4 linked regions of the Anolis sagrei genome follow. The protein of the gene in region 1 purifies or fractionates together with the protein of each later gene. This does not show direct contact. Links are inferred from orthologs where the notes say so. Each region holds a gene or a part of one and is shown on either strand. Other genes may lie near its edges. The genes, in order: EGFR, USP8, LONP1 and SOS1.

The links.
Region 2: the proteins of EGFR (region 1) and USP8 purify together in Homo sapiens (affinity purification with western blotting; 6 studies listed by BioGRID). This does not show direct contact. The link is inferred for Anolis sagrei from reciprocal best matches to the Homo sapiens genes EGFR and USP8.
Region 3: the proteins of EGFR (region 1) and LONP1 purify together in Homo sapiens (affinity purification with mass spectrometry; 3 studies listed by BioGRID and IntAct, with this or other methods). This does not show direct contact. The link is inferred for Anolis sagrei from reciprocal best matches to the Homo sapiens genes EGFR and LONP1.
Region 4: the proteins of EGFR (region 1) and SOS1 purify together in Homo sapiens (affinity purification with mass spectrometry; 14 studies listed by BioGRID and IntAct, with this or other methods). This does not show direct contact. The link is inferred for Anolis sagrei from reciprocal best matches to the Homo sapiens genes EGFR and SOS1.

The regions. Positions count from the first base shown.
Region 1 is NC_090026.1:66,069,802-66,077,779, reverse strand, and holds the start of EGFR (epidermal growth factor receptor), read right to left. Parts: upstream 3,015-7,978; 5' UTR 2,644-3,014; coding exon 2,568-2,643; intron 1-2,567. UniProt on the Homo sapiens protein: Receptor tyrosine kinase binding ligands of the EGF family and activating several signaling cascades to convert extracellular cues into appropriate cellular responses.
Region 2 is NC_090029.1:32,021,573-32,029,118, forward strand, and holds the start of USP8 (ubiquitin carboxyl-terminal hydrolase 8), read right to left. Parts: upstream 3,001-7,546; 5' UTR 2,819-3,000; intron 205-2,818; 5' UTR 129-204; intron 1-128. UniProt on the Homo sapiens protein: Hydrolase that can remove conjugated ubiquitin from proteins and therefore plays an important regulatory role at the level of protein turnover by preventing degradation. Converts both 'Lys-48' an 'Lys-63'-linked ubiquitin chains.
Region 3 is NC_090034.1:58,402,841-58,409,704, reverse strand, and holds the start of LONP1 (lon protease homolog, mitochondrial), read right to left. Parts: upstream 3,002-6,864; 5' UTR 2,966-3,001; coding exon 2,588-2,965; intron 1-2,587. UniProt on the Homo sapiens protein: ATP-dependent serine protease that mediates the selective degradation of misfolded, unassembled or oxidatively damaged polypeptides as well as certain short-lived regulatory proteins in the mitochondrial matrix.
Region 4 is NC_090021.1:22,282,397-22,290,119, forward strand, and holds the start of SOS1 (son of sevenless homolog 1), read right to left. Parts: upstream 3,012-7,723; 5' UTR 2,595-3,011; coding exon 2,508-2,594; intron 1-2,507.

The sequences.
Region 1 (7,978 bases):
TATATGTGATACATAGATGTTTGATACTGGTTTCCCTTACTTTTTTCCCCCTCCTCCCTCTTTCACCCCTATTCTTCACTTCCTACTTTTGTTTTAAACCATGTTCACCTACTTTCAGTGTAATAGAAACCAGCTATTGCAGTCATGTCAATGACTTTTTATCTTTGATTAATGTGTGTGTTTATATGTATATGTATATAAATATTATTTATTTGCTACATTTATATACCGCCCCTCCCAGCCTGCAGGAGGCTCAGTGCAGTATGTGTATGTATATATATATATCTATATAAATAAAAATGAAATGTTCGTTTGTGGGATTAACAGAACTCAAAAACCACTGGATGAATTGACACCAAATTTGGACACAAGACATCTAACAACCCAATGTAGGTATGTCCGTCACTCAAAAAATGATTTTGTCATTTGGGAGTTGTAGTTGCTGGGATTTATAGTTCACCTACAATCAAAGAGCATTCTGAACCCCACCAATGATAGAAATGGGCCAAACCTCCCCCACAGAACCCCCATCAGGGCCCCAGCAGCACGTGGCAGGAACAGCTAGTATATATATATATATATATATATACACACACACACACACACACATACACACTAGCCATCCCCTGCCATGCGTTTCTGTGGCCCAGTCTGTGTATATGTGTTTTGTATGTGTGTATATATGTGTTTAAGTGTGTGTATATATTTGTATATATATGTGTGTGTTTGTATATATATGTGTGTGTGTGTGTGTGTGTGTTTATGTGTACATCCATATTGTGTGTATGTGTGTGCTTGTATGTGTATATGTGTGTGCATGTGTATATGTGTACATATAGTGTATTTTTTGAGTTTTTAAGTCTGTTCCACTGGGGTTTTGTGTGTGTGTGTGTTTAGGGGTGATGGACACTCGTTGGACTGTTAGGTGTACCGTGTCCAAATGTGGTGTCAATTTGACTAGTGGTTTTTGAGTTATGCTAACCCCACAAACGAACATTACATTTATATATATATATATGTGTGTGTGTGTGTGTGTCAAAATTTTGTCTATGTCCATGTCATTCACCAATAAAAATGGATTGCAAAAACCAAAAAAACTATGCATCGGTGATGTGCTGTTTGGAAAGATTTGAAATGCTATATTATTATACTACACTAGTGGCCCCCCTGCCACGCGTTGCTGTGGCCCAGTCTGTTGATCTGGAAAATAAAGTAATGAGAAAGTGTTGGTTTCTAATACATGTAGTTTCTTTATGCTTGTGGGTAAACAGTATTTCTTGCTGTTTCTTTGTTGATGTGTTGATGTAGAGATTGTCTAGTTTGCTACTCTGGAGCATGCAATTTATAAATGTCCTTCTTTAGGGGTCCCTTTCAAATCTATGATACTATATCTCTGTGTGAGTGAATCATATCTATCTATCTATCTATCTATCTATCTACATCTATGGCTAGATGACTCTATTTCCCCCAAACTCCACCAGTGTTCACATTTGGGCATATTGAGTATTTGTGTAGAGTTTGGTCCTGATCCATCATTGTTTGAGTCCACAGTGATCTCTGGATGTAGGTGAACTACAACTCCAAAACCACTGCCCACCAAACCCTTGCAGTATTTTCTGTTGGTCATGGGAGAACTGTGTGCCAAGTTTGGTTCAATTCCATTGTTGATGGGGTTCAGAATATTCTTTGATTGTAAGTGAACTATAAATCCCAACAACTACAACTCCCAAATGACAAAATCGGGTTTTTTTTGTTTTTTTTTAGTGATGATCACTCCTTTGGTTGTTAGGAGTATGCTGTCCAAATTTGGTGTCAATTCGTCCAGTGTTTTTTTGAGTTCTGTTAATCCCACAAACGAATATTACATTTTTATTTATATAGATTATTATTATTATTATTATCATCATCATGATGCCATGTAACCATTTCCTAGTACCTTTTTAACGGAATGACCACTCAGGGCCCTTCCAGACATTTTTATTTATATAGATGTCAACATTTTGTCTATGCCCATGTCATTCACCAATAAAAATGAATTGCAAAAACAAAAAAACTATGTGATGCGCTGTTTGGAAAGATCCGAAATGCTATATTATTATATGACATTCTGTATTACTTTGCAAGTTAAGTCTTGATGGGCTGGCTCCCCTTCTGGATTCTAACTGAGAAATCACTCCTTAGCATAACGAAATCAAATGCTACCCCTAATCATATTATATACGAGGGTTAAAACTACAAAACAAAACTATTGCACAACCTGGATGCAGGCATGGGCAAACTGTGGCCCTCCAGGTGTTTTGGACTTCAACTCCCACCATTCCTAACAGCCTCAGGCCCTTTCCTTTTCCCCCTCAGCCGCTTAAGCTTAAGCGGCTGAGGGGGAAAAGGAAGGGGCCTGAGGCTGTTAGGAATGGTGGGAGTTGAAGTCCAAAACACCTGGAGGGCCACAGTTTGCCCATGCCTGCCTGTCAGAAGGGCCATGCCTCTGAGTCGTCTCCCCGGCCTCTCTCTGCTCAAGCGCCCGCCCTTTCCCGGCCTCACTTTCCCCTCAGGCGCGCTTTCCTCACCTCGCTTCTCGTCCGCGGCGGCCAGAGCCAGGAGCAGGAGCGGGAGGGCCCCACAGGACAACCATAGCGAGCCCATCTCCGCCAAGTAGGAAGGAAAGAAGGAAGGAAGGAAGGAGGAAGGAAGGCGCTTGCCTCGCCTCAGCCGCGCTGCTCGCCCTGCCGAGGACTGTTGCAATGTGAGGATGACAACTCCAAGGGGGGAGGAGGGAGGGAGTGAGTGAGGAGGAGAGGAGCCCCCCGCTCCGCCTCTCGCCGGGTCCTCCTCCTTCTCTCTTCAACTCCCAGGAAAACTTTTCTCCTTTTGCGCGCGCGAGGCTGAGGGTCTCCCTCTGCTCTCCCTCTGGTCCGCCACTGGCCTCAATACCTGAGCCCGCCCAGGCGGGGCCTGCTGCTACCTGAAGGGACGGGCCAGAAATTCCAGTCAGGCAAGCTAGGCGAGGCTGAGGCGAGGCAAAGGCTGCTGAAGCGAGCAGCGCGCGCGCACTGCGCAGGCGCGTTCCCTCCCGCGCGCCTCCCGCGTGCAGCATTCGCTCCTTTAGGGTTGCTCGCCCGCCAAGTTTATTTACTTTCTGTTTTGTTCACTTGCAAGGAAGTCGTCTCTGGTTGCTTCTGGATCGAGAGAATCGGCCGTCTACGAAGACGTTGCCCAGGGGACGCCCGGATGTCTTGCAATCCTGCGAGGAGGCTTCTCTCAAGGACCAAGGCAGAGATATCTCCAGCTCATCCCTTGTTTGGGTATCAGCCAGCACATCAACGACTTATAGAATCATAGAATCAAAGAGTTGGAAGAGACCTCATGGGCCATCCAGTCCAACCCCCTGCCAAGAAGCAGGAATATTGCATTCAAATCACCCCTGACAGATGGACATCCAGCCTCTGCTTAAAAGCTTCCAAAGAAGGAGCCTCCACCACACTCCGGGGCAGAGAGTTCCACTGCTGAACAGCTCTCACAGTCAGGAAGTTCTTCCTAATGTTCAGATGGAATCTCCTCTCTTGTAGTTTGAAGCCATTGTTCCGCGTCCTAGTCTCCAAGGAAGCAGAAAACAAGCTTGCTCCCTCCTCCCTGTGGCTTCCTCTCACATATTTATACATGGCTATCATATCTCCTCTCAGCCTTCTCTTCTTCAGGCTAAACATGCCCAGTTCCCTAAGCCGTTCCTCATAGGGCTTGTTCTCCAGACCCTTGATCATTTTAGTCGCCCTCCTCTGGACACATTCCAGCTTGTCAATATCTCTCTTGAATTGTGGTGCCCAGAATTGGACACAATATTCCAGATGTGGTCTAACCAAAGCAGAATAGAGGGGTAGCATTACTTCCTTAGATCTAGACACTATGCTCCTATTGATGCAGGCCAAAATCCCTTAAATCAAGACATAGTTTTCTTAGATCTACAGAGACACTCACTGGAACACCCCAGCAAGCGAGAGTCCAAAAGTGGCAGGCCCAAACCCAGCACCTCAATTCATGGGTGATACCAGATGAGAGACTCCCCCCTGGGCACACAGAAGACTGGGCGACTTGGAAGGCGCTGAACAGACTGCGCTCTGGCACCACGAGATGCAGAGCCAACCTTCAGAAATGGGGCTACAGGGTGGAATCCTTGGCATGCGTGTGCGGAGAAGAACAAACCACTGACCACCTGCTGCAATGCACCCTGAGCCCTGCCACATGCACAATGGAGGACCTTCTTGCGGCAACCCCAGAGGCACTCCAAGTGGCCAGATACTGGTCAAAGGACATTTAACCAAATACCAAATTTGCAAAATCTGTGTGTTTTTTTTCCTTTTTCTTTTTAATCTGTGTGTTTGTTTTGCTCTGTTAGAATTGTAATACAATGGTTGCTGATGACACGATAAATCAGGGGTCCTCAAACTAAGGCCCGGGGGCCGAATGCGGCCCTCCAAGGTCATTTACCCGGCCCTCGCTTAGGGTCAACCTAAGTTTGTAACGACTTGAAAGCACAGAACAACAACAACAATCCTATCTCATCAGTCAAAAGCAGGCCCACACTTCCCATTAAAATACTAATAAATTTATATTTGTTAAAATTGTACTTCATTTTAATTATTGTATTGCATTTAAGTGTTTTTGCACTACAAATAAGATATGTGCAGTATGCATAGGAATTCATTCATGTTTTTTTTCAAATTATAATCCGGCCCTCCAACAGTTTGAGGGACTGTGACATGGCCCTCTGTTTAAAAAGTTTGTGGACCCCTGCCATAGGGATCCAGCTCCAAACAGTAGGGGTTTGGAATCCTCCCCCCTTTACACTTCTTACATGGAATATTGTGTCCAATTCTGGGCACCACAATTGAAAGGAGATATTGACAAGCTGGAATGTGTCCAGAGGAGGGCGACTAAAATGATCAAGGGTCTGGAGAACAAGCCCTTTGAGGAGTGGCTGGGCATGTTTAGCCTGAAGAAGAATCATAGAATCAAAGAGTTGGAGGAGACCTCATGGGCCATCCAGTCCAACCCCCTACCAAGAAACAGGAATATTGCATTCAAATCACCCCTGACAGATGGCCATCCAGCCTCTGTTTAAAAGTTTCCAAAGAAGGAGCCTCCACCACACTCCGGGGCAGAGAGTTCCACTGCTGAACAGCGCTCACACTCAGGAAGTTCTTCCTCATGTTCAGATGGAATCTCCTTTCTTGTAGTTTGAAGCCATTGTTCCGCGCCCTAGTCTCCGCGCCCTAGCAGAAAACAAGCTTGCTCCCTCCTCCCTGTGGCTTCCTCAGGGTAAAAGTATGATAGCTGGATCTGGAAGGCGGGGGGGGGGGAGCTTGCCCCCCCCCCCGAAATTCTCATGGTGGTCCGTGAGAAGGCCTTACTGGTGCATTATTTAAACTGTTACGTTTATTCATATCATGATCTGATCACCATACTCAATATATCCCATATGCATGGGGGTATTGGGGTAACAATACAAAAGGTTTGCTAGGGTAGACCCTCTTTCACTCAGACTCGCCCCCCCCAAATCAAACTTAGCCCCCCCCCCCCCCCAAATCAAAATCCTGGCTATGGGCCTGGTTACGCTGTTTTCGCTTTGCTCCTCAGGAGTGCTATTTGCACAACGCAGAATAATAATAATAATAATAATAATAATAATAATAATAATAATACTTTATTTGTACCCCGCTACCATCTCCCCTGTAAAGGTCCATTGGTTGTTTTGCTTGCTTGCTTGCATGCTGCAAGTCGCTTCTGGTTGCCTCTGGAGCGAGAGAATCGGCCGTCTACGAAGACATTGCCCAGGGGACGCCCGGATGTCTTACAATCCTGCGAGGAGGCTTCTCTCATGTCCCCTATCAACCAATGGCTGATACCAAATGAGAGACTCTCCCCTGGGCACACAGAAGACTGGGCGACTTGGAAGGCGCTGAACAGACTGCGCTCTGGCACCACGAGATGCAGAGCCAACCTTAAGAAATGGGGCTACAAAGTGGAATCCTCGACATGCGAGTGTGGAGAGGAGCAAACCACTGACCACCTGCTGCAACGCAACCTGAGCCCTGCCACATGCACAATGGAGGACCTTTTTGCAGCAACACCAGAAACACTCCAAGTGGCCAGATACTGGTCAAAGGACATTTAATCAACTACCAAACTCACAAATTTTGTATTTTGTCTGTTTGTTTGTTCTGTTAGAAATGTAATATAATTGACTGGTTGCCCTGACACGACAAATAAATAATTTAGGAAGGGGTATTTTGATTTCTCAGCCAGAGAGTTCCTCTAGTGCCTCACCGAACCACAAATTCTGGAAATCCCTAGAATGCAATTGTGGCAGTTAAAGGGGAATTGCAGAGCTATAATTCTACAGTCTGAGCACTCACAGTAAGAAAAAGAGTCTGAAAGGAGAATCAAAAGGGTCAATTTTCTTTAGAAAGCTTGAGCATTTTTTTTCAAAGCCACATCAGTAGCTGAAATTGAATCTATGACACAGATCAAGGTGTAGTAATGGTAGGACCAAAATGATCTGGGTCTTCGAGCAAATCTATGAGAAGGGTCACAATGCTGTGGTTTTTACGTTTATTTAAAAGAGCGTAAGGGGAACATGCAAGAGTGGCCTTTGAGCATACACAGTGTAGAGGAGGTAGACAGAGGTGCCTCCCTCTTTTACAGCATTTGAACTGAAGGTCTTTCAGTAACTCTGAATTGTGGGCACTTCTGGACAGACCAGATGAAATACTTAATTAATCAATGGCCATCCGCCCAAAAGGACTCAAAAGGGATTTGATGGTGAATAAGACTGTCTATGTATGGGGATGAAAGAATACTTCTAAATATTAAATTCTGGGAAATATGAATTTTCACTCTGTAGACCTCCCTAGGCTGAGCGAAGGAAGATAGATGTTTTTGAACTGTGGTGCTGAAGGAAAGTTCTGAGAGTGCCTTGGACAGCGAGAAGATCCAACCAGTCCATACTTCAAGAAATAAAGCCTGACTGTTCATTGGAGGGAAGGATAGTAGAGGCCAAGATGAAGTACTTTGGCCACATCATGTGAAGAAAGGAAAGCTTAGAGAAGACAATGATGCTGGGGAAAATTGAAGGAAAAAGGAAGAGGGGTCGACCAAGGGCAAAATGGATGGATGGTATCCTTGAAGTGACTGGATTGACCTTGAAGGAGCTGGGGGTGGTGACGACCGACAGGGAGCTCTGGTGTGGACTGGTCCATGAAGTCACGGAGAGTTGGAAATGACTGAACGAATGAACAACAAGACTTTCCTATGGCCACTGTCAGGAACTTCTGACCAGAAGTTTATATATCTTTTATATATTTTTATTGATATGTGTTGATTAGATTGATGAACTCTCTGTATTTTTCAGGAACTCTTGCATTTCAGCTATTTTTTTGGGATCCTCCCAGCTCCCACATGGATCTCCCATTTCTTCCATATATTTAGAAATACACTTGAGGTGGCGTGTGGGACAGGCAGGACTGGGATGTGCTTTGGGATAGGGGGCTATGAAGAGGGAGGGAGGAAGGAGAGAAGAAACCACCGGGGATGGAGAACGATGGCTCCTCTTCCATTCCTTCCTCAAGGTGGGAAAATCCCGGAAGAACCCGCTTCGAGGAAGGAGGTTCCTGCAGTAAGGGAAGGAGGTGAGGCCATGTACATCTCACAGAGAATAGGCCCTTGTTGAAAAAAATAGCAAAACACCAACAACTTTATTCTTTAAGAATGTAATAAAAAAGACAAGGCAAACACGGCAATTCCACATTTGAGTAGCTACATTTTCTCACAATTCTTTCTAGTAAATGAGTGATTAAGAGATCTCAGTTTTAGACAAAACAGCATATTCTGGGGTTGTCAGCAATTCTTGGTCACCAAAGCACAAATATTTTTAATGGATGTTGAGGAAAATTATATCTATTAGATCCATTAACATTGTCTAGAG
Region 2 (7,546 bases), on another chromosome or scaffold:
CATATATTAGAAACCAACACTTTCTCTCTTTATTTTAGAGATCAACAGACTGGGCCACAGCAACGCATGGCAGGGGACAGCTAGTAAATAAATAAATATTAGAGAATAAAAGAATCTGCGAACCCCACCTCCTCCAAGATGAACTGAACCACCTAAACTGGGCTCTCCAGGCCAATGGAGACTCCACCTCAGACATCAGAAGAGCTGCAAGACAACCGAGAAGAAGCCACGAGAGTAAAGATGAAGATCCACCCAGAGGGAAAGTGTTCCTGCCATACATCAAGGGAACCACTGACCGCATAGGGAAGCTGAGGAGGAAACACAACATACAAACTATCTCCAGACCCACCAAGAAAATCCAACAGATGCTTCGTTCAGCAAAGGACAAGAGGGATCCTCTCACCTCTGCAGGAGTCTACCGTATACCATGCAGCTGTGGGCAAGTCTACATAGGGACCACCAAATGCAGCAGCGTTGCCCAAACACGAATCAAGGAACATGAAAGGCACTGCAGACTACTTCAACCAGAGAAGTCAGCCATAGCACACCGCACTATTTTAATCCTGCGTTCCTCCTGCCATTTCAGCACTTTTAACCCTGTACCCCATTGCGCTGGCCGGCCCAGTTTTAAAGTGTCTTGATGCATCGTTACTGTTGTTGTTATTTTGCTTAACTATTTGATTTGCTTTGTTTATTGTTGTGTTATGTTTTTACTGTATTGTGTTCTGAGGCTTCTGCCTGTGTAAACCGCATCGAGTCCTTCGGGAGATGCTAGCGGGGTACAAATAAAGTTAATAATAATAATAATAATAATAATAATAGCAGAGCACCTGAGGAACCAATCTGGACACAGCAGATTATTTGAGAACACAGAAACGCTGGACCACTCTCACAACCACCATGTCAGACGACACAGAGAAGCCATTCAAATACACAAGCATGTGGACAACTTCAACAGAAAGGAGGAGACCATGAAAATGAACAAAATCTGGCTACCAGTATTAAAAAACTCTAAAATTACAACAGCAAAACAGCAGAGAGGAAAGAACCAGGCACATCTTAACATCTCTCAACGAAAGATTCCCCCAGGCTCAGCCAGGCCTTCAAATGCTAATGAAGGTGGTCAGTTGAAACATTCACCCCTAGCTCCAGCAGACAAGAGTTCTTATTTATTATTTATTTAGTACACTTGTATACCGCTAATATCTCAGCCTAAAACGGCGACTCATTGCGGTTTACAACATTTAAAAACAACAATATTTCGATTAAAAATATAAAACACATACATATACAATACACAGTATTGGGCCACCAATACAGACCAATGCATCTCTTAATTAAAGTTATAATCCAGTTTCGTTGTCTGTGATTGCCAGTCCTTGATCAAAAACTTCATCGCATCGGATTAGCCGAATGCTTGCTCAAACATCCATGTTTTCAGTTTTTTCCGAAATACCATCAGCGAGGTGGCTGATCTTATCTCTATAGGGAGGGCATTCCAAAGCCGCAGGGCCACCACAGAAAAGGCCCTGTCTCTCGTTCCCGCGAGCCGCACCTGTGAAGCAGGCGGGATGGAAAGAAGGGCCTCTCCCGAAGATCTTAGGGTCCTGGTGGGCTGATAGGCCGAGATACGTTCGGATAGATATGTAGGGCCAGAACCGTTTAGGGCTTTAAAGGCCAAAGCCAGCACTTTGAATTGGGCCCGGTAGCTAATCGGTAGCCAGTGGAGCTGGTACAGCAGAGGAGTTGTATGTTCCCTGCGTCCTGCTCCTGTTAATACCATGGCTGCCGCCCGTTGGACTAGTTGGAGCTTCCGGGCCGTCTTCAAAGGCAACCCCACGTAGAGAGCGTTGCAGTAGTCAAGGCGGGATGTAACCAGAGCGTGGACTACCGTGGCCAAGTCAGACTTCCCAAGGTACGGTCGCAGTTGGCGCACGAGTCTTAACTGTGCGAATGCTCCCCTGGTCACCGCCGAAACCTGGGGATCCAGGCTCAGCGATGAGTCCAGGATCACACCCAAACTGCGGACCTGTGTCTTCAGGGGGAGTGCGACCCAGTCTAACACAGGCTGTAACCCTATACCCTGTTCGGCCCTGCGACTGACCAGGAGTACCTCTGTCTTGTCTGGATTCAATTTCAATTTGTTCGCCCCCATCCAGACCGTCACAGCGGCCAAGCACCGGTTCAGGACCTCGACAGCCTCCTTAGTAGCAGGTGGGAAGGAGTGACAGAGTTGGACATCATCTGCTACAGATGACACCATACCCCGAAACTCTTTGCCCCACCCTGGTCATTCCACAGATATATAAATCCTTTTTCCTAGTTCCAACAGACCTCACTACCTCTGAGGATGCTTGCCATAGATGCAGGCGAAACGTCTGGAGAAATGCCTCTAGAACATGGCCGTATAGCCCGAAAAAACCCACAAGAACCCAGTGATTCCAGCCATGAAAGCCTTCGACAATACAATAAAAGTATTCTCTTGCAGATTTCTTCACCTGTGAAGTGCCCTTGAAACCCAAGCTTCGGTGGGACAAGTCAGCTTTTGAACTCACCTTGAACCTAAGCCACACCGTGGAATTAATGCAGTTTGAGACCCTTTTAACTGCCTTGTGGAATGCTTGGGAGTTTCAAGTGTGCCCACTGAACTGGGCCGTGGCAGTTAAAGAGGGCTCACTTGAAACAGCTCTCGTTCCAATTGAAAGGCCTCCCTCTCTCCCTCCCTTGGGCCAAACCCTCTCTGGCTCTCTCTCTGAGGCGCAGAGCAGGCCTCTCCAGGCCCGGCAGGCCTTTCCCCTCGCTCTAGAGGAGGACTCACCCCGGCCCCGGCCTCGCTGTGCTTCCCTTCAGGGCTAGGCCCATCTCCCGGCACCCGAGCAGCTGAGGAAGGAAGGTAGGGAGGAAGGCAGCCCGAGCTTCTCTCGCCTCTCGTTGGCCGGCCGAGGCGGAACTGAGGGGCGGGGAGACGGGACTTCCGCGAAAGGGGCTGGGCCGCCGGAAGTGTCCGAAAGCGGCGGTGGGGGCCTCCGAGAGGGATGAGGTGTCCGTGGCGGGCCTGAAGAGAAAACGAGACGCCCGCGCTCCCCAAGGGACCTGGACGACAGGCGCGTCCGAAGCCTACTCAATAAGCAACACACTGTGGGGGCCTCTTTAAGTGTTTTGGACTTCGAATCCCAGAAGGCCCCGCGAGCCTGTCCAATGGAGAGGAATCCTGGGAATTGCAGTCCAAAACACAAAAGTTCAGAAACTGGCTTTTAACCCAGGATATAATAATAATAATAATAAGAAGAAGAAGAAGAAGAAGAAGAAGAAGAAGAAGTATTAACGTATTAATATAAGTATTAAGAAGATGTAACGGTGGTCCACGCTCTTGTTATATCCCGAATAGACTACTGCAATGCGCTCTATGTGGGGTTGCCCGTGAAGACTGTTCGGAAACTTCAACTAGTCCAGTGAGCGGCAGCCAGATTGCTCACCGGAGCGTCATACAGGGAGCATACCACCCCCCTGCTATGCCAGCTCCACTGGCTGCCGATTCAGTTCCGAGCACAATTCAAGGTGCTGGTTTTGACCTACAAAACCCTGTACGGTTCCGGTCCAGTGTATCTGTCCGAACGTATCTCCCTCTACATCCCGCCTCGGAGTCTGAGATCATCTGGGGAGGCCCTGCTATTGACCCCACCACTGTCACAAGTGAGGCTGGTGGGGACGAGGAGCAGGGCTTTCTCAGTGGTGGCCCCTCACCTGTGGAACACACTCCCGGGGGAAATCAGGGCATCATCATCCCTCCTCGCCTTTAGGAGAAGGGTGAAGACTTGGTTATGGGACCAGGCCTTTGGGCACTCGGGCAATTAAATCAGACAACCAGGCGAGTAAGACCAGCAGGATTGATGAAGTGGAACGTAAAACTAGATCTATGAGTAGCAAACGCTGACCATGCAAGAGGAGAAACTGGGTTTGTATTTGGTTTTATTGATTTTATGGTTATAATGTATATTTGGTGTTAACTGTGTATTGATGTAATTTTGTGTTGATTGTTTTTATGATGCAGGCATCAAATTGTGCCTTGCTTTTGTGAGCCGCCCTGAGTCCCCTTCGGGGTGAGAAGGGCGGGGTAAAAGAACCCCAAATAAATAAATAAATAAATAAATAAATAATCCTTTAGTTGTAAGAACTGGAACCATGAAACTGAGCTAAAGCTTTGGGCAATTTCCTCCCTTGTTTTCAGTTGCAGATTACCTTTTTATTATTATTATTATTATTAAAATGTCCTTATAGATGGGCCAGTTGGACCATCCCAATAACCTTCTCTGTCCTGCTTCAAGGGGGGATATCCACAAAGGAATCTTTGGGTAAAGTTTAGCCCGTACCTTGGGAAGTCTAACTTGGCCACGGTAGTCCACGCTCTGGTTACATCCCGCTTAGACTACTGCAACGCTCTCTACGTGGGGTTGCCCTTAAAGACGGCCCGGAAGCTCCAACTGGTCCAACGGGCGGCAGCCATGATGCTAACAGGAGCAGGACGCAGGGAGCATACAACTCTCCTGCTGTACCAGCTCCACTGGCTGCCGATCTGCTACTGGGCTCAATTCAAGGTGCTGGCGTTGGCCTATAAAGCCCTAAACAGTTCCGGCCCAAGATACCTAACTGACCGCCTCTCGGCCTATGAGCCCACGAGGACTTTGAGATCTTCCGGGGGAGGCCCTGCTCTCAATCCCGCCTGCGTCACAGGCACAGCTGGCGGGGACGAGAGATAGGGCCTTCTCGGTGGTGGCTCCTCGGCTGTGGAACACCCTTCCCGTAGACATGAAGCTAGCGCCCTCCCTGTTGATATTCCGCAGGAAACTAAAGACCTGGCTGTTTAAGAAGGCATTTGAACAAGATGTGCAATGATTGGTAAATTGACCATAGGAATGGAATAACGGAAATGATACCGGATTGTGGGTTTGACGATGAGATGACACGGAATGGCTTTGTAGTAATGTTGATGTTTTGATGAGGATGTTTTTGATAATGATGAATTGTGGATTATTTTACACTATGTCTTGTATTTTGCACCTGTTTTTCTATGTTGTACACCGCAGCGAGTCGCCCCTGGGCTGAGAATTGCGGTCTATAAGCGAAGTAAATAATAATAATAAATAATAAATAAAATCTGGCCCACATTTTCATTAGCACAGATCTAACAATGGTTGTTTAAAAAAAATCCCTTTTGATTTGGTCGTATCAGAAGTACACGTGCCAGCCAATTCCCAGGTCAAAACCCTCCGATTCTAGTATTTTCTCCTTATTTAGTAAGATCCAATCTTTTATCCAGCTTAGACCGCACACTTCGTAATAGAGGTTTAGATCTGGTAGACCTAGCCCTCCTCTGTTCTTCGCGTCAGTCAAATATCCATATTTTATTCTCGGTCTTTTCCCTTTCCAGATAAATTTTAATATTTCTTTATTCCAGGCGTTAAATAATCTATTGTTCCTAATTATTGGTGCATTCTGGAAAAGGTATAATAGCTTTGGAAGCTTTTAAACAGAAGCTGGATGACCATCTGTCAGGGGTGCTTTGAATACAATTTTCCTGCTTCTTGGAAGGGGGTTGGACTGGATGGCCCATGAGGTCTCTTCCAACTCTATGATTTAGCTGTGTGAAAGGGGCCTCAGGTGACCCAGGGCCCTTCCAGACAGGCCCTCTATCCCAGGATCTGTTTCCAGGTTTTATGCTTTAAATTAGATTATGTGTCCACACTGCCAGCTAATCTGGAATAAACAGAAACCCTGGAACCAGATCCTGAGATATAGGATCTGGAAGGGCCTCTAGTACAGACATTGTGGAATTTTCTGCCTTGATATTATTGGTTATATGGTTGTGTGGAAGGGCTCCGAGATCAGATCCTGGGATAGCGGGGTATTGCGGAAGGCCCCTTGAACCCTTCCACACAGCTGTATAAAATCCACATTGAAGAGGATTATATGGCAGATGTAGACTCAGGCCTGAATTTACTTTCTCTGCGATTTTGAGCCTGTTTGAGTATATTCATACTACTGAGAGTATCCTTTGACTATAAGTAAACTAGTTTACCAAGGTTACTCAGATATTCTATCTGTATGCGCTTTCAGAAGCACACGGAAGTGATCAGTATTATTGCTAGGGCAAGGTATCTGGAAATATGACTGCACTTTCCTGAAGGTCATGTTTACAACTTGATGCACTGCCTTTTTCCATCAGCATTTTCCATTTTGTACCAAAAGAACTGCAGTTAGATTTACCTACAGTCTAGTACAATTTTTGTAAAACTGAGGTTAAAATGTGTGATTTATTGCATGAAGGTTTTCAGTAATCAAAACAATTTTGAAATTATTTTGCACCGTTTTTACCATTCTTTTTTTACCTTTTGTATGTTTTAATCATATTTTGTTTTAATTTTCTTGTAGGCTGTCTTGAGCCCAATGTAGGGAAGAACTCAGGATTTACGAATAAAATAATGAATATTTGAGTCAACAGTGAACATGTCACCATAAAAGCTCTATGGCTATGCAAGCTTCAGTACAAAGATCAGTTCCTCCAAACACGTCATAACACACAGCACTAAATACAAGTTGGTAATTTAGTCAGTGTAATTAGGGAAAAGAGACTCCAGATCACAAAACGTTATAACTTGGTTTTATTAACTCGATTTTATGGCAGTATAGAAGGACCTTGATCTTCCTCCAGTCCAGTTACTTAAAAAACTGACCACCACACATTTGGTACCTTGAATGTTTCCCCTGTTTCTGGGTATATTTGGCAGATTGTTTCCAAAAATGCCACCAGTTTCCCCCCAGCAGTTCTGGTTCTTGAGACAGATGCTATCTAACAGTCACAATCTACTTGTCCATAGAAATCAGGATAACCCTATTTAAGAAACTAGAGATAATGCAGTCTATCTAGTGCAATTTTCTGAATCAGCACCCCAAAGAACCCTGGGAATAAACCTAAAAACCAAGACACACTAATATTTTTTTTGTTGGGCTGTTTTACATAGTTTAAAATTGCAAGCACTTGCACTGTTACATTATTATAATCTTTCGTTACCATTCTGGAGTCACCTATCTCTGCTTTTAGTTCCCTTCAGAAGAGTGACTTTAGCCTAGTCTGGGAAACAAAGCACTTCTGATGGACCTGAATAGCTTTGCATAAGAATGATTAATCTCACCTGTAAACTGGATCAATGTAAGATCTGGAACACAGTTCACTCTTTTCTCTACATTGATCAATGATAATCCAACTTGAAACTGACTATATGCATCTCTGAGCTGCTTTGAATCTCATTTGTGGAGAGAGAAAAATGGGTATAAACAATAAATAATAACGAACTTTCTTTAATGCACACAGCAATGGAAGCTGTTACTACCAAACTTCTTTCTGGATGGATTTTTACTGCCATAGAATCCAGATTATCTGCACTGAACTGGATTACATGACAGTGTAGATGAGACCTTGTCTCATACCCCTTCCACACAGCTGAATAAAATCCCAAATTATCTGTTTTGAACTAGAATATATGGCAGT
Region 3 (6,864 bases), on another chromosome or scaffold:
GGAGGAAGGCCTTTTGTGACATTCCGCAGAATCTTTGAGAATTGTTCCATTCATTTGGCCCTTTTTTTAGCAGTTGGAAAAATACATAAATTTGAAACCAAGTTGACAAAGATAACCTTGGGTTGAAGAGGAGAAGGTCAGCAGTCACATTTTCCTCACAAATATAGAAAACAAAGAAGCAATTATTGGTTCGGTGAAGCCAACGTCTCTCCTCAAAGGAGGAGCAAAGGGCAACGGAGATGATGAAACAACACTGAAATCTCAATCAATGACTAACTAACTTGGGAGTCAATTCTAACATTGATGAGACCACCAGAAATATAGAAGGATATCTTGGTACTTCTAAGGATGAAAGGAGCTTATTACAAAGAAAAATGCTCTTTGGAGAAAGGAGGAAAGATCTGAGTTCCAAAGATCTCTATTTCAGCTGTTCTAAACTGCCAAAAGTCCTTGAAGAAGGAGAGAGGAATGAAGAGAGGAGCTCTAGAGACGTCAGTTTTATACTTTGTAAACTGCCTTGCTTTCGGGGAAGGAAGGATGAGCCACAAAAGGCTCTGCAACTATTATGCAAGGAACACAAACATATCAATTTCCCCAACCGAAAAATAGGGGTGAGACTATTATGTGATGGTGACTATTACACAATGTAACAAAATATGAAAACATTTTCTGGTTTGAAAGTGTTATTTCCCGTTTACTTGTGCGGTACCTACTTTGAAAGTAATTGTCATACTCCAGAAACTTTGTTTCTGTGGCCACAAACTACGTTAAATTGGTCGAGACTCAATAAGATATTCATTGAAAAACTAGAGCAAAATCTCCTGCAGGATGTCCCTCTGCCAAAATAAAATTTATGTCGTTTAATAAACTTTTTCCATGTCTTTAATGATAGAACCAATTAGAAAATGACATTGATAACTCAGGAAGAAACAAATGTGTTACATGGTGTAATTTGACAAATTCCATGACTGAAGGCCACAGAGAGAGAGAGAAAAACAAGGCTCAAGGACTAAGCAAAATCTGATACTGTGGGCAGAAAGCTCCAGTTAGAATGAATCCTATCCAAGGTCTTTGTGCTCAAATCCTTGAGATGTTCAGTTTGTATTATTATTGTTGTTGTTGTTATTATTATCATCTTTGTAACTATGAATGCATCTATCTATTCATGTAACTACATATGCATCGTTCGTTGCAACTATCTATCTTTGCATCTATTTATATCTATCTATACATCTACCTATCTGTGCACCTACCTATCTCTGCATCTATTATCCATCTATGCATGCATCTATCTACCTTTCTCTGCATCTATCCATCTATCTATGCATGCATGCATCTAACTCTGCATCTATCCATCCATCTATCTCTGCATCTATCTACCTATCTATCTCTACATCTATCCATCCATCTATCCAGCCATCAATCTATTGCTGCATCTATCTATCTCTGCATCTATCCATCTATTTACCTATCTGTTTCTGCATCTATTTATCTCTGCATATATCTATCCATCAGCCTATCTATCAACCTATCTATCTCTGCATCTATACATCTCTGCATCTATACATCTTTTTACCTATCTGTCTCTATATTTATTTATCTCTGCATCTATCCATCCACCTATCTGTGCATCTATCTACCTATCTAGTTCTGCATCTATCTATATCTGTCTATGCAACAATCTATACCTCTATCTATCTGTGCTCCTATCTGTCTGTGAATCTATTATGCATCAATGCCTGCATCTACCTATCTCTGTATCTATCTGCTATCTATCTGTGCATCTATTTTTCTCTGTATCTATCTATCTCTGCATAGATGCAGAGATTTTGGCCTGCATCAATAGGAGCATAGTGTCTAGATCTAGGGAAGTCATGCTACCCCTCTATTCCGCTTTGGTTAGACCACACCTGGAATATTGTGTCCAATTCTGGCCACCACAATTCAAAAGAGATAATGACAAGCTGGAATGTGTCCAGAGGAGGGTGACTAAAATGATCAAGGGTCTGGAGAACAAGCCCTATGAGGAGCGGCTTAAAGAGCTGGGCATGTTTAGCCTGAAGAAGAGAAGGCTGAGAGGAGATATGATAGCACTGTATGAATATGTGAGAGAAAGTCACAGGAAGGAGGGAGCAAGCTTGTTTTCTGCTTCCTTGGAGACTAGGACGCGGAACAATGGCTTCAAACTACAAGAAAGGAGATTCCGTCTGAACATGAGGAAGAACTTCCTGACTGTGAGAGCCGTTCAGCAGTGGAACTCTCTGCCCCGGAGTGTGGTGGAGGCTCCTTCTTTGGAGGTTTTTAAACAGAGGCTGGATGGCCAGCTGTCAGGGGTGATTTGAATGCAATATTCCTGCTTCTTGGCAGGGTGTTGGACTTAATGGCCCATGAGGTCTCTTCCAACTTGATGATTCTGTGATTCTATGCCCCAGGAGTGTGGTGGAGGCTTTGAATCAGAGGCCATCTGTCAGGGGTGATTTGAATGCAATATTCCTGCTTCTTGGCAGGGGGTTGGACTGGATGGCCCATGAGGTCTCTTCCAACTCTTTGATTCTATGATTCTATGGGATCCTGTGGAGCCACTCACCTCGAGAATCTTGATAAAGCGCGGGAAGACGGGGTTCCTAGCCACGGCGACGAGGGGCACCTGTGGGACGTGTTCGGGGACCATGAGGGGCGCCAGCGCCGTCACGACCGGAGGGGTGCCATCGCCGGAGCCAGCGCCCTCCCCTCCGGATTCGCTCCCCTCAGGCCCGTCCCCGGAGGAAGAGGAAAAGGAGGAGGCGCCGCGGGAGAGCAGGAAACGGCGCGGAGAAGAGGCCCACTCCGCCCACGGGAGCCTGGGGCCTCGAGTCAAGGCCAGCCGGCCGCGGCAAGCTCGTAGCGGGGAGGAGAAAGGCGGCGCTCGCCCGCAGCGCCACAGAAGACGGAGCGCGCGTGCTGCTGAGGCAGCAGCCGCCGCCATCTTGCCGGCGCGCGGAATGACAAAACTGCGCTGCGTCGGGACGTCATCACGCACGCTGACGCCGGGAGTCAGGCAAGCAGGCCGACTCGAAAGCAAACTGGCGTCAGACGTCATCACGCACGCATGACACTAGATTTGCTTTGACCACTTGGAGTGCCTCTGGTGTGGCTGAGAGAAGGTCCTCCTCCATGGGGCATGTGGCAGGGCTCAGGCTGGTAGGTGGCCCGTGGTTTGCTCTTCTCCACACCCGCATGTTGTTGACTCCACTTTGGAAGCCCCATTTCCGAAGGTTGGCCCTGCCCAGCCTTCTGTGTGCCCAGGAGGGAGTCTCTCATTTGATTGAGCTTCCAGGTTTTAGCCTGCCACTTTTGGACTCTCGCTTGCTGAAGTGTTCCTGTGAGCGTCTCTGCAGATCTTAGGAAGCGGTGACCAGGGGAGCATTCGCACACCTAAAACTTGTGTGCCAGCTGCGCCCGTACCTTGGGAAGCCTGACTTGGCCACGGTATTATTATTATTATTTATTTACAAGGAGAACCCGGTGGCGCAGTGGGTTATTTATTATTATTATTATTTACCTTATTTATATACCGCTGTTCTCAGCCCGAAGGCGACTCACAGCGGTTCACAACAAATACAAACAGCAAAAATTCAGTGCTACAGTATAGAAACAGTTAACAACCTAACACATTACACAATTAATAAACAGTTACTACAATACCCATTCACTGTCGTCTCGTCATCAAAAACATGTTCCAGATTCGTCATCCATTGTTCCATTCCAGTGTTCATTAACCAATCATTGCACTAATTATTCGAACGCCTGCTCAAACAGCCAGGTCTTTAGGACAATGGGTTTATATATCTGTGGAATGGCTGGGGTGGGGCAAAGAGCTTTTCTCTGCTGGAGCTAGGTGTGAATGTTTCAACTGTTGTAATTTTAGAGTGAACAAAATCTGGCTACCAGTATTAAAAAAACTCTAAAATTACAACAGCAAAACAGCAGAGAGGAAACAACCAGGTACATCTTAACACCTCTCAACAAAAGATTTTCCCAGTCTCAGCCAGGCCTTCAAATGCTAATGAAGGTGGTCAGTTGAATCATTCACACCTAGCTCCAGCAGAGAAAAGCTCCTTGCCCCACCCCAGCCATTCCACAGATATATAAACCCATTGTCCTTATTCCAACAGACCTCACTACCTCTGAGGATGCTTGCCATAGATGCAGGAGAAACGTCAGGAGAAATGCCTCTAGAACATGGCCCTATAGCCCAAAAAAACCCACAAGAACCTAGTGATTCCAGCCATGAAAGTCTTCGACAATACATTATTATTATTATTACTATTATTATTATTAACTTTATTTGTTTCCCGCTAGCATCTCCCGAAGGACTCGATGCGGCTTACAAAGGCCAAGGCTTCAAAACACAACATAACAATACACAACCTAAAGCAAATTAAAAACAGTTAAAGCAATATTAAACAACAAGCAATAAAACAATACATCAGGACACAATAAAACTGGGGCCGGGCCAGAGTAATGGGTACAGATTAAAAGTGCTGATGTGACAGGTGATATGTAAGGATTATAGGGTAAGTGCAGTGTGCCAGCAATTTTAATTTCTAATAAAGTGCTTCTGGGACTTGTTGGAGTTTTCCTATTCTGGAAAGGCACATCGGAACAGCCAGGTCTTCAAGTTCTTTCTGAAGACTGCCAACGTAGGGGCCTGTCTAAGATCTTTGGGGAGGGCGTTCCAAAGTCAGGGGGCCACCACAGAGAAGACCCTGTCCCTAGTCCCCACCAAACGCGCCTGCAACGCAGGTGGGATCGTGAGCAGGGCCTCTCCGGATGAATGAAGTGAGCGCAAGGGTTCATAAACGGAGATGTGGTCACGCAGGTAGGATGGTCCCAAACCGTTTAGGGCTTTGTAGGTTAGCACCTGCACCTTAAATTGGGTTCAGAAGATAAATGGCAGCCAGTGGAACTCCTTGAACAGGAGGGTTGACCTCTCTCTGTAAGGAGCACCAGTTAACATCCTGGCCGCTGCCCATTGGACCAGTTGAAATTTCTGAGCCGTTTTCAAGGGCAGCCCCACGTTGATGGGAGTGAGAGCAGGGCCTCCCTGGATGATCTTAAATTGCGAGGTGGGACATAGGGGCAGATGCGTTCGGACAAGTACGCTGGGCCTGAACCGTATAGAGCTTTATAGGTCAAAATCAGCACTTTGAATTGGGTTCGGAGATGGACCGGCAGCCAGTGGAGCTGGCATAGCAGGGGGGTGGTATGCTCCCTTTATGCTGCCCCAGTTAGTAATCTCACTGCCACCCGTTGAACTAACTGAAGTTTCCGAACCGGCTTCAAAGGCAGCCCCACGTAGAGCGCGTTGCAGTAATCTATTCGGGATGTAACCAGAGCGTGGACCACCATGGCCAGATCAGACTTCCCAAGGGTTACTTTTAAAAAGTCAAATTGCAATTGTACAAAATACATAAGGTTGTGGGTGAACTACAACTCATATCATGTCAGATTAACCCCCGAAACTCCATCATCACTTAAAGTTAGTTATGTTGGGCAAGTTTGCTCTAGATGCATCATCGGTGGGGTTCAGTGTGCTCTCTGACCGTCGGGTGAACTACAATTCCCACTATGGTGAGTCAGTCCCCTCAAATCCCTCCAGTAGATTGAGTTAGTCATGGGGGTCCTGTGTGCCAAGTTTGGACTAGGTCCATCATCGGTGGAAGTCAGTTTCTCTGGTTGTGGTTGAACTATAACTCCCAGAAAGGAAGGTCAGTTTCCCCCCAAACCCTTCCAGTAATCAATTTCAGCATATTGGGTATGCGTGCCAAGTTTGGCCCAGATCCATCGGTTTTTGGGTTCACAGTGTTCTCTGGATGTAGGTGAACTACAACTCCTCCAAATCCCTTCAGTATGTTTTGTGTGCCAAGATTGGTCCAATTCCATCTTTGGTAAAGTTCAGAGTGCTCTTAGATTGCAAGTGAATTATACATCCCAGTACCTACAACTCCTATAAATCATGGTGAATTCTCCCCAAAACTCTCTAGTATGTTGAGTTGGTGATTAATTCCTCTGTTGTGTGCCATAGAAAAGAATAAGAAAGGGTTGAGAGGCAGTGGGCAGGGTCATGCAAATTCCACACCAATGGAGAGAGTACGAAATACTGGGTTGTCTGTGGTGAAGGAAACACATAAAATCTGGATGAAGTTGTGCCTTCTCTTGGGTGGTGAGCAGTGTGGTGTTGGTGGAGCACATTAGCAGAGCTCCTGGACATGTTCATGGTGTTCACTATAACCTGCAGTGTCATTGGAGGGAGGACCATTGGTGTCTCCTGAGTAATGGGAACTATAGCTGTTTGGGAAAGTCTATTAAACTGCAAAAACTTTGTTTCTGTGTGCTGTAACACATTTTGTGGTACTTTTTCAACGAACATCTCAACTAATACAACATAGACTGTGGGACAAAAACGGAAGTTTCTGGAGGAGAACTACTTTCAAAATAACGACCGCACAACATAGTTAAATACATCTATAAAATTACATTTTTAAACATACCATATTTAATCTCATAATAGTCACACACCCTTTTGGGGGGTGACAAAATTGGTATATTTGTGTTCCTCACATAATAGTCGCAGAGCCATTTGGGGCTGGTTCTTCCTTCCTTCTCTGAACAATGAAACAGGAAATAGCACATTCAAGCAAGAAACAAAAATGTTTTCCAATTTTGCTACATAGTGAAATAGTCTCAACCCCTTTGTTTTATGAGTGGGGAAATTGACATTTTTGTGTTCCTTGCATAATAGTCGCAGAGCCATTTGTGGCTGATCCTTCCATCCCCCAAGGATTCCAATGTTTTTGTGTTCCTTGCACAATAGTCACAGAG
Region 4 (7,723 bases), on another chromosome or scaffold:
ATGTCAATAAAATAAAATAAATAAAATAAATATAGTAATATATAATACAGATATTGTGCTATGCTAATAATATAATATATTATATATATATATATATCTTGTAAGCCGCTCTGAGTTCCCTTTGGGGTGAGAAGGGCGGCATAAAAGTGTTGTAATAATAAAAAACCAAATAAATAAAAGCGGCACCCAACATGGCCAACTTCTGGTCAAAGGAAATTTTGTATAATGTCAAGTTTTTAAAATTGCTGAACAACTGACTATGGTATGTTTAATGCGTTGCTTTAGGCACATTGTGCCATATGTAAGCCACCATAAGCTCCTTCAGGGAGATGGAGGTGGGGCACAAAAATAAAGTTTCTTTATTTATTTAGAGCTTTTATAACCTGGTTTTCTCGACCTCTGAAGAGGGACTCAGGCCGGCTAACAGCAGAAAATTCATACACACATAGAATAAACATAATAGCATCATAATACATTAATACAAAAATACATTAAAATACAGATCATACAATTACAAATCCAGGTCGTCAGAGTAAAATCACAAATTCATCACCATCTGCCAGTATGGTCAGCCGTTATTGACTCAATCATCATTCTGCAAATGCTATATTCCAAAGCCAAGATTTTACCAGCTTTCTGAAAGTCAGGAGGGAAGGGGCAGATCTAATCTCCAACGGGAGAGAGTTCCAGAGCCGAGGGGCCACCACCGAGAAGGCCGTGCCCCTCGTCCCCACCAGACGCGATTGCGAAGGAGGTGGGACCGAGAGCAGGGCCCCTCCAGAAGATCTTAACAACCTTGATGGTTCATAGGGGAGAATCTGTTGTTGTTCATAGGTGAGAATCCGTTGTTATTGTTGTTGTTGTTATAATAATAATAATAACAATAATAATACGAAACGACTCCAGCCCAATTTACCTGTCCGAACGTATCCTCCCCTATGAACCATCAAGATTGCTAAGATCGTCTGGAGGGGCCCTGCTCTTGATCCCACTGGCCTCACAGGCGCGGCTGGTGGGGACGAGAGACCAGGCCTTCTTGATGGTGGCCCCTTGACTCTAGAACTCCCTTCCACTGGAGATCAGAACTGCCCCTTCTATCTTAACGTTCAGGAAACAGGTGAAAATTTGGCTTTGGGGATTGGCATTCGACGAATGAGCCATGATCCTGTGACATGGATGGGTGACGATGAATAATGATTTTTGATGATGACTGACCACTGCAATTATATGATTGTATTTTGCTATTTTAATGTTTTAGTGTGATTTAGAATATGATGTTTTAATGACTGTCTGTAATATTGATGTTGGAAACCGGCCTGAGTCCCTCGAACGGAGGTGAGAAGAAGACCAGTATACAAAACTGGTTCCGGCCCAAGATACCTATCCAACCGCATCTCGACCTATGAGCCCACCAGGACTTTGAGATCTTCCGGAGAGGCCCTGCTCTTGATCCCGCCTGCTTCACAAGCACGGCTGGCGGGGACGAGAGATAGGGCCTTCTCGGTGGTGGCTCCTTGGCTGTGGAACACCCTTCCCGTGGACATTAGACTGGCACCTTCCCTGATGATATTCCGCAGGAAATTAAAGACTTGGTTGTTCAAGAAGGCATTCGAATAAGAAGTGCAATGGTTGGTAATGACTACAGGAACGGAACAACGGGAAATTATATTGGATTGTGGTTTGGACGATGAGACGACGCTGAATGGTTTTCGTAGTAATGATGTTTTTGTATAATGCTGGATTGTGAATTGTTTTTATACTGTGTCGTGAATTTTGCTGTTCCTATGTTGTACACCACTGTGAGTCGCCCCCGGGCTGAGAACAGTGGTATAGAAGTAAAATTAATTAATTAATTAATTAATTATAGGTTTTTGTTCAGCTGTGTGGAAGGGGCCAGAGTTGAAGGTAAACAACAAACTTCTAGCTTTGTTTCATGATCTCCGTTTTGGAGATCTAGTCACTGATCTGACCTGCTTTCAATGACGTTTAATACATGTATATTTGAAGTTGTATTGCCACGCTTTAGTTGCGAACCGCTTTTGAGTCTCCTATGGAGAGACAAAGCGGGATATAAATAAACATCAGAAGATGAGTTCCAGAGCTGAGGGGCCACCACCGAGAAGGCCCTGTCCCTCATCCCCACCAGACGCGATTGTAAAGGAGGTGGGACCGAGAGCAGGGCCCCTCCAGATCTTTAACAACCTTGATGGTTCATAGGGGAGAATCCGTCGTTGTATTATTATTATAGGTTTTTGTTTAGCTGTGTGGAAGGGGCCAGAGTTGAAGTTAAACAACAAACTTCTAGCTTTGTTTCATGATCTCCGTTTTGGAGATCTAGTCAGTGATCTGACCTGCTTTCAATGACGTTTAATACGTGTATATTTGAGGTTGTATTGCCACGCTTGAGTTGCGAACCGCTTTTGAGTCTCCCTAGGGAGACACAAAGCGGGATATAAATAAACATGAGAAGATGCCCTGCTTCTCCTCCTTGGAAACACGGGACTCACCTTCTTCAAGGCGGGCACCAGCAGGCCCCGCCACTTGGGCGCGTTCTCCTCGCTGAAGAAGTCGTACTGCAGCGGCGGCGCCTGCATCCTGCCCGCCCCGTCCCGGGCCCTCGGCGTCGGGGAAGCGGCGGAGTCAGTGCTGGGGCCCAGCCCGGCCTGGTGGGGCCTGTCCCTGTCGCTGGGCCCGGGCCGAACCTGCGCAGGGCCGAGGCGGAGGGCGCCGCTGAGGCTGAGGCTGGGGCCAGGACCCGGCGTGGAGGCCCGGCGCCGGCGACATCCCTCCCTTCCCGGCCTCGCCTCACGCAGACCCCGGGCTCTCCGGCATCCTTCTCCTTCTGCTTCTCCTCGGCCCTGACAGGAAGGAAGCGGAAGTGCAGGCCGCAAAGCAACGGTGGCTGAGGGAGGGAGCCAAAGAGGGCTTCGAACTCTCGGGGGCGCTTCCCTTGCCGTCCCTGACGGTTGCAACCTCCGGCGCGTGCGCAGTGGGCACAAAGGCCGACCGGGCATGCGCAGTCGCGGCGCGCTCCCCCTCCCCTCCTCCTCCTCTGGCTCCGCCCCCCTCTCGCTCCAGTCCTGGCCTCGCTTCTTCCCTTTTCCGCGCCGTCCAGGCGTGCGAGTCGAGAGCCGAGCCCTCGAGCTTCCTTCCACAACCTTGCTCCCCCTCCCCTCGCCACTTCCAGGCTTGCTAGTCGAACGCCGAAGTGTTTTCATGATCGGTGGTGGAGGGAAGACAGCAAAGCAGAGCACCTCTTGTCATACCGCCACCTACCCCTTCTGATCACAGCGCCACCTGCGGCCTGGAGGACTCAAGTATTTTTTTTATTAGTCATTTCAATACTGAAAGGGTTTCAGGCCTTTTCAACAAATTGGTTTTATTTATTTATTTATTTGCTTTATTTCTACATTTTTCAGCCTAATTAGGCGACTCAATGCGGTTTACACAATGCAGGTTATCACAACAATAAACAGTTAAAAACACATCATACACAACAACAAAATCAACAATTATTATCAATTCATGACGCCTCGATAACAGAACAAAATCAATTCTCATAATCCTTGTGCCATTCCTATGTTCAATTTTACCGTCTTCCTGTGTTCAGTTGCACTGTTTAGCCAAACGCTTGCTCGTAGAGCCAAGTCTTAACCTTCCTCCGGAACGCCAGCAGCGTCTGATGTCTACAGGTAGGGCATTCCATAGCCGAGGGGCCACCACCGAGAAGGCCCTGTCCCTCGTCCCCGCCAACCGTGCCTGTGACGCAGGCGGGACCGAGAGCGATCTTAATGTCCGCATCGGTTCATAGGTGGAGATGCGTTTTCAGGCCAATCCAACAAATGCTCCATTCAGCAAAGGACAAGAGGGATCCTCTCACCTCTGCAGGAGTCTACCGTATACCATGCAGCTGTGGACAAGTCTACATAGGGACCACCAAACGCAGCATTGCCCAAACACGAGGCCGAACAGGGCATAGGGTTACAGCCTGTGCTGGATGGGGTCGCACTCCCCTTGAAGGCGCAGGTTCGCAGCTTGGGTGTGACCCTGGACTCATCGCTGAGCCTGGAACCCCAGGTTTCAGCGGTGACCAGGGGAGCATTTGCACAGCTAAAACTTGTGCGCCAGCTGCGCCCGTACCTTGGGAAGTCTGACTTGGCCACGGTAGTCCACGCTCTGGTTACATCCCGCCTACACTACTGCAACGCTCTCTACGTGGGGCTGCCCTTGAAGACGGCCCGGAAGCTTCAATTAGTCCAATGTGCGGCAGCCATGATTCTAACAGGAGCGGAGCGCAGGGAGCATACAACCCCCCTGTTGCGACAGCTCCACTGGCTGCCGATCTGCTACTGGGCTCAATTAAAGGTGTTGGCGTTGGCCTATAAAGCCCTAAACGGTTCCGGCCCAAATCCTGTCCAAACGCATCTCCTCCTATGAACCCACCAGAACTTTGAGATCTTCCGGGGAGGCCCTGCTCTCGATCCCGCCGGCTTCTCAAGCACGGTTGGCGGGGACGAGAGATAGGGCCTTCTCGGTGGTGGCCCCTCGGCTGTGGAACACCCTTCCTACGGACATTAGGCTGGCACCATCCCTCATGGCATTCCAAAAAAAGTTTAAGACCTGGATGTTTGTGCAGGCGTTCGAGTAATCTAGTGCAATATTTGGTAATTGAACATAGGAATGGAACAATGGACAATGAACCTGGACTAGGCTTTGACGATGAGACGATTGGGTTTGGTTATTGTAATAACTGTTATTATAATTGCTTATTGTTTATTAGTGGATAATGTGTTAAGTGGTCTATTGTTACGTGTTGCATTGAATTATTGCTGTTTTTACTGTGTGTGAACCGCTGTGAGTCGCCTCCGGGCTGAGAACAGCGGTATATAAGCAAAGTAAATAAATAAATAAGGAACATGAAAGGCACTGCAGACTACTTCAACCAGAGAAGTCAGCCATAGAAGAGCACCTGATGAACCAACCTGGACACAGCATATTATTTGAGAACACAGAAATGCTGGACCACACCAACAACCATCATGTCAGACTACACAGAGAAGCCTTTGAAATCCACAAGCATGTGGACAATTTCAACAGAAAGGAGGAGACCATGAAAATGAACAAAATCTGGCTACCAGTATTAAAAAACTCAAAAATTACAACAGCAAAACAGCAGAGAGGAAACAACCAGGCACATCTTAACACCTTTCAACAAAAGATTCCCCCAGGCTCAGCCAGGCCTTCTAATGCTAATGAAGGTGGACAGTTGAAACATTCACACCTAGCTCCAGCAGACAAGAGTTCTTTGCCCCACCCTGGACATTCCACAGATATATAAACCCATTTTCCTAATTCCAACAGACCTCACTACCTCTGAGGATGCTTGCCATAGATGCAGGCGAAACGTCAGGGGAAAATGCCTCTAGAACATGGCCATATAGCCCGAAAAAACCCACAAGAACCTGGTTTCAGGCCTATTTAACCCTGAGTTTTATCTTAAGGACAACGAGCCCTGGGTGGCACAGTGGGTTAAACCCCTGCACCAGCAGGACTGAAGATCAACAGGTCGTAGGTTCGAATCCGGGGAGAGTGCGGATGAGTTCCCTCTACCAGCTCCAGCTCCTCATGCGGGGACATGAGAGAAGCCTCCCACAAGGATGATAAAACATCAAAACATTTGGGCGTTCCCTGGGCAACGTCCTTGCAGACGGCCAATTCTCTCACACCAGAAGCAACTTGCTGTTTCTCAAGTCACTCCTGACAAAAAAAAAATCTTAAGGACGATGATTATGTCATTACCGCTCAAGTAGGGAGCTTTGAGATGGTTGAACAGAAGCTCATAGCACAAGTACCCTTACCGCCTACTACAGGGAAAACCAGCTGATTCTAATCCATCTAAAACACAGACATGTGCCTTTCACCTTAAGAACAGACAAGCATCCCGAGCTCTGAGGATTATTACCTGGGAAGGAATCCCACTGGAGCACTGCAGCGCACCGAAATACCTGGGAGTCACTCTGGACTGTGCTCTGACCTACAAGAAGCACTGCCTGAATATCAAGCAAAAAATGGGCGCTAGAAACAAAGGCTGCACGTTTTCAATGACCAAGTGCTAGGTCATCTGCATATATGAGAGTCCAGGGACACATAGTCTGCCTAGTCCATGCAGAGTCTGAATAGTAATGTTGAGAGTGCTGATCCTTGAAGCACGCCAACAGTGATGTTGAAGGGTGGTGAAATCTCTGCAGGGCAGCTGACCATACTTGTATCATTGTATAGTAGCTTTATCCATTGGTGCAACAGCTATGTGACTTCATAGTCCAATTTGATTTTTCATAAGTTTAATGAGCGCTGACTATATACCTTTGTGTAAACTTGCTTGCTCTTTTGTAGATCTTTTTTTCTTTTCTCTTTTTTCCCTTTTTTGTTTTTCTGTTGTCTGCTTTGCTTCTTGTGTACACTATAAAACAATAAAAATTAAAAAATAGTGATGCTAGAAATGTAGCACCACAGTCTTTGAGCATTTTCCAAATTTCAGCTGGTATGTCATCTGGGCCAGTGGCCTTTCTATGCTTCTTTCTTTGTATGGCTGCATTTACTTCAGTGACTGTGATAGCTGGTACTGGGCCGAAGACTGGAACAGAGCTTATTACTGGTGGGAGGGGAAATTCTATATTACTGTAGGGAAAATAGTCAGATCATATTTGTAGGATAGTTTGAGTGTTACGCAATATTTCACCATTTCTTTACCATTACTCACAACCGCTTTCTACCTGAGAAACTTTTACATGACCCTAGACATATAACTGTAAAACTCTAATGTTTACTGATAATACATCAGTATTTTCAGGCTGATCTTTCTTTTTATGAACTACAGCTGAAGCATTTTCTGCAGAGTCCACTGTAAAGACTGCATGTTGTTGCTAGCAGGCTCATGTAAATGGGTAGCATTCAGAAACTTTATTGTTGCCAAATGTTTTATGACACCAACACTGAGCAAAGACCCAAAGTTTATGAAGTGGTTTGGTAGATGACCTTTAAGAGACTGCCTAATTTTATGCTCCATTACAGTATTTTAGTTAAGATGCTTTGTCCATTCCTCAGATGTTTAATTTCTTCAGAAAATGAGTGCAGATGGCAATCCAGATATACAACAAACATGTTAAAAAAAGTTTATTTTACATTATATACATTAGGAAATATCCAAAAGCATTACCAACAACATCGATACAGACCATAAATCACTTTTAATGTAGTTATTCTTAGTTTATATCACAGTATAAAGAACATATACAAAAAAAGCCAATATGTGCATTTCCCAGCTAAAACTTGGCATATACATATTACTGCATTGGAAAACAATCAAAAATCTTTTCGCTCAAAATTAAAAATTCCTGTGATGTGTAATAAATCATTTAAATTGTTTGTGTGAGGTAGTAACTAAATCATTTTGGCCGGGTGTTAAGACATTAAAAGGAAAATGTGAAAAACAGTAGTAAGGCCAAATATTTTTTAAAAGAAAAAAGGCCAAATTAAGACAATTAATTCATTGCTGCGGTAACCGACAACTCATTTTCATACGAAGAACAGTTGTTCTGTGGGTGTATTCCCATATGGCAGTAGGTTTTAAGCTTCTGGCCTTAAGAGAAATTAATGTGTTTCCTGAATAAACCCCGGCATATTGCATGGGATTTTTGGTACAGGGAATACACCATTCACACAG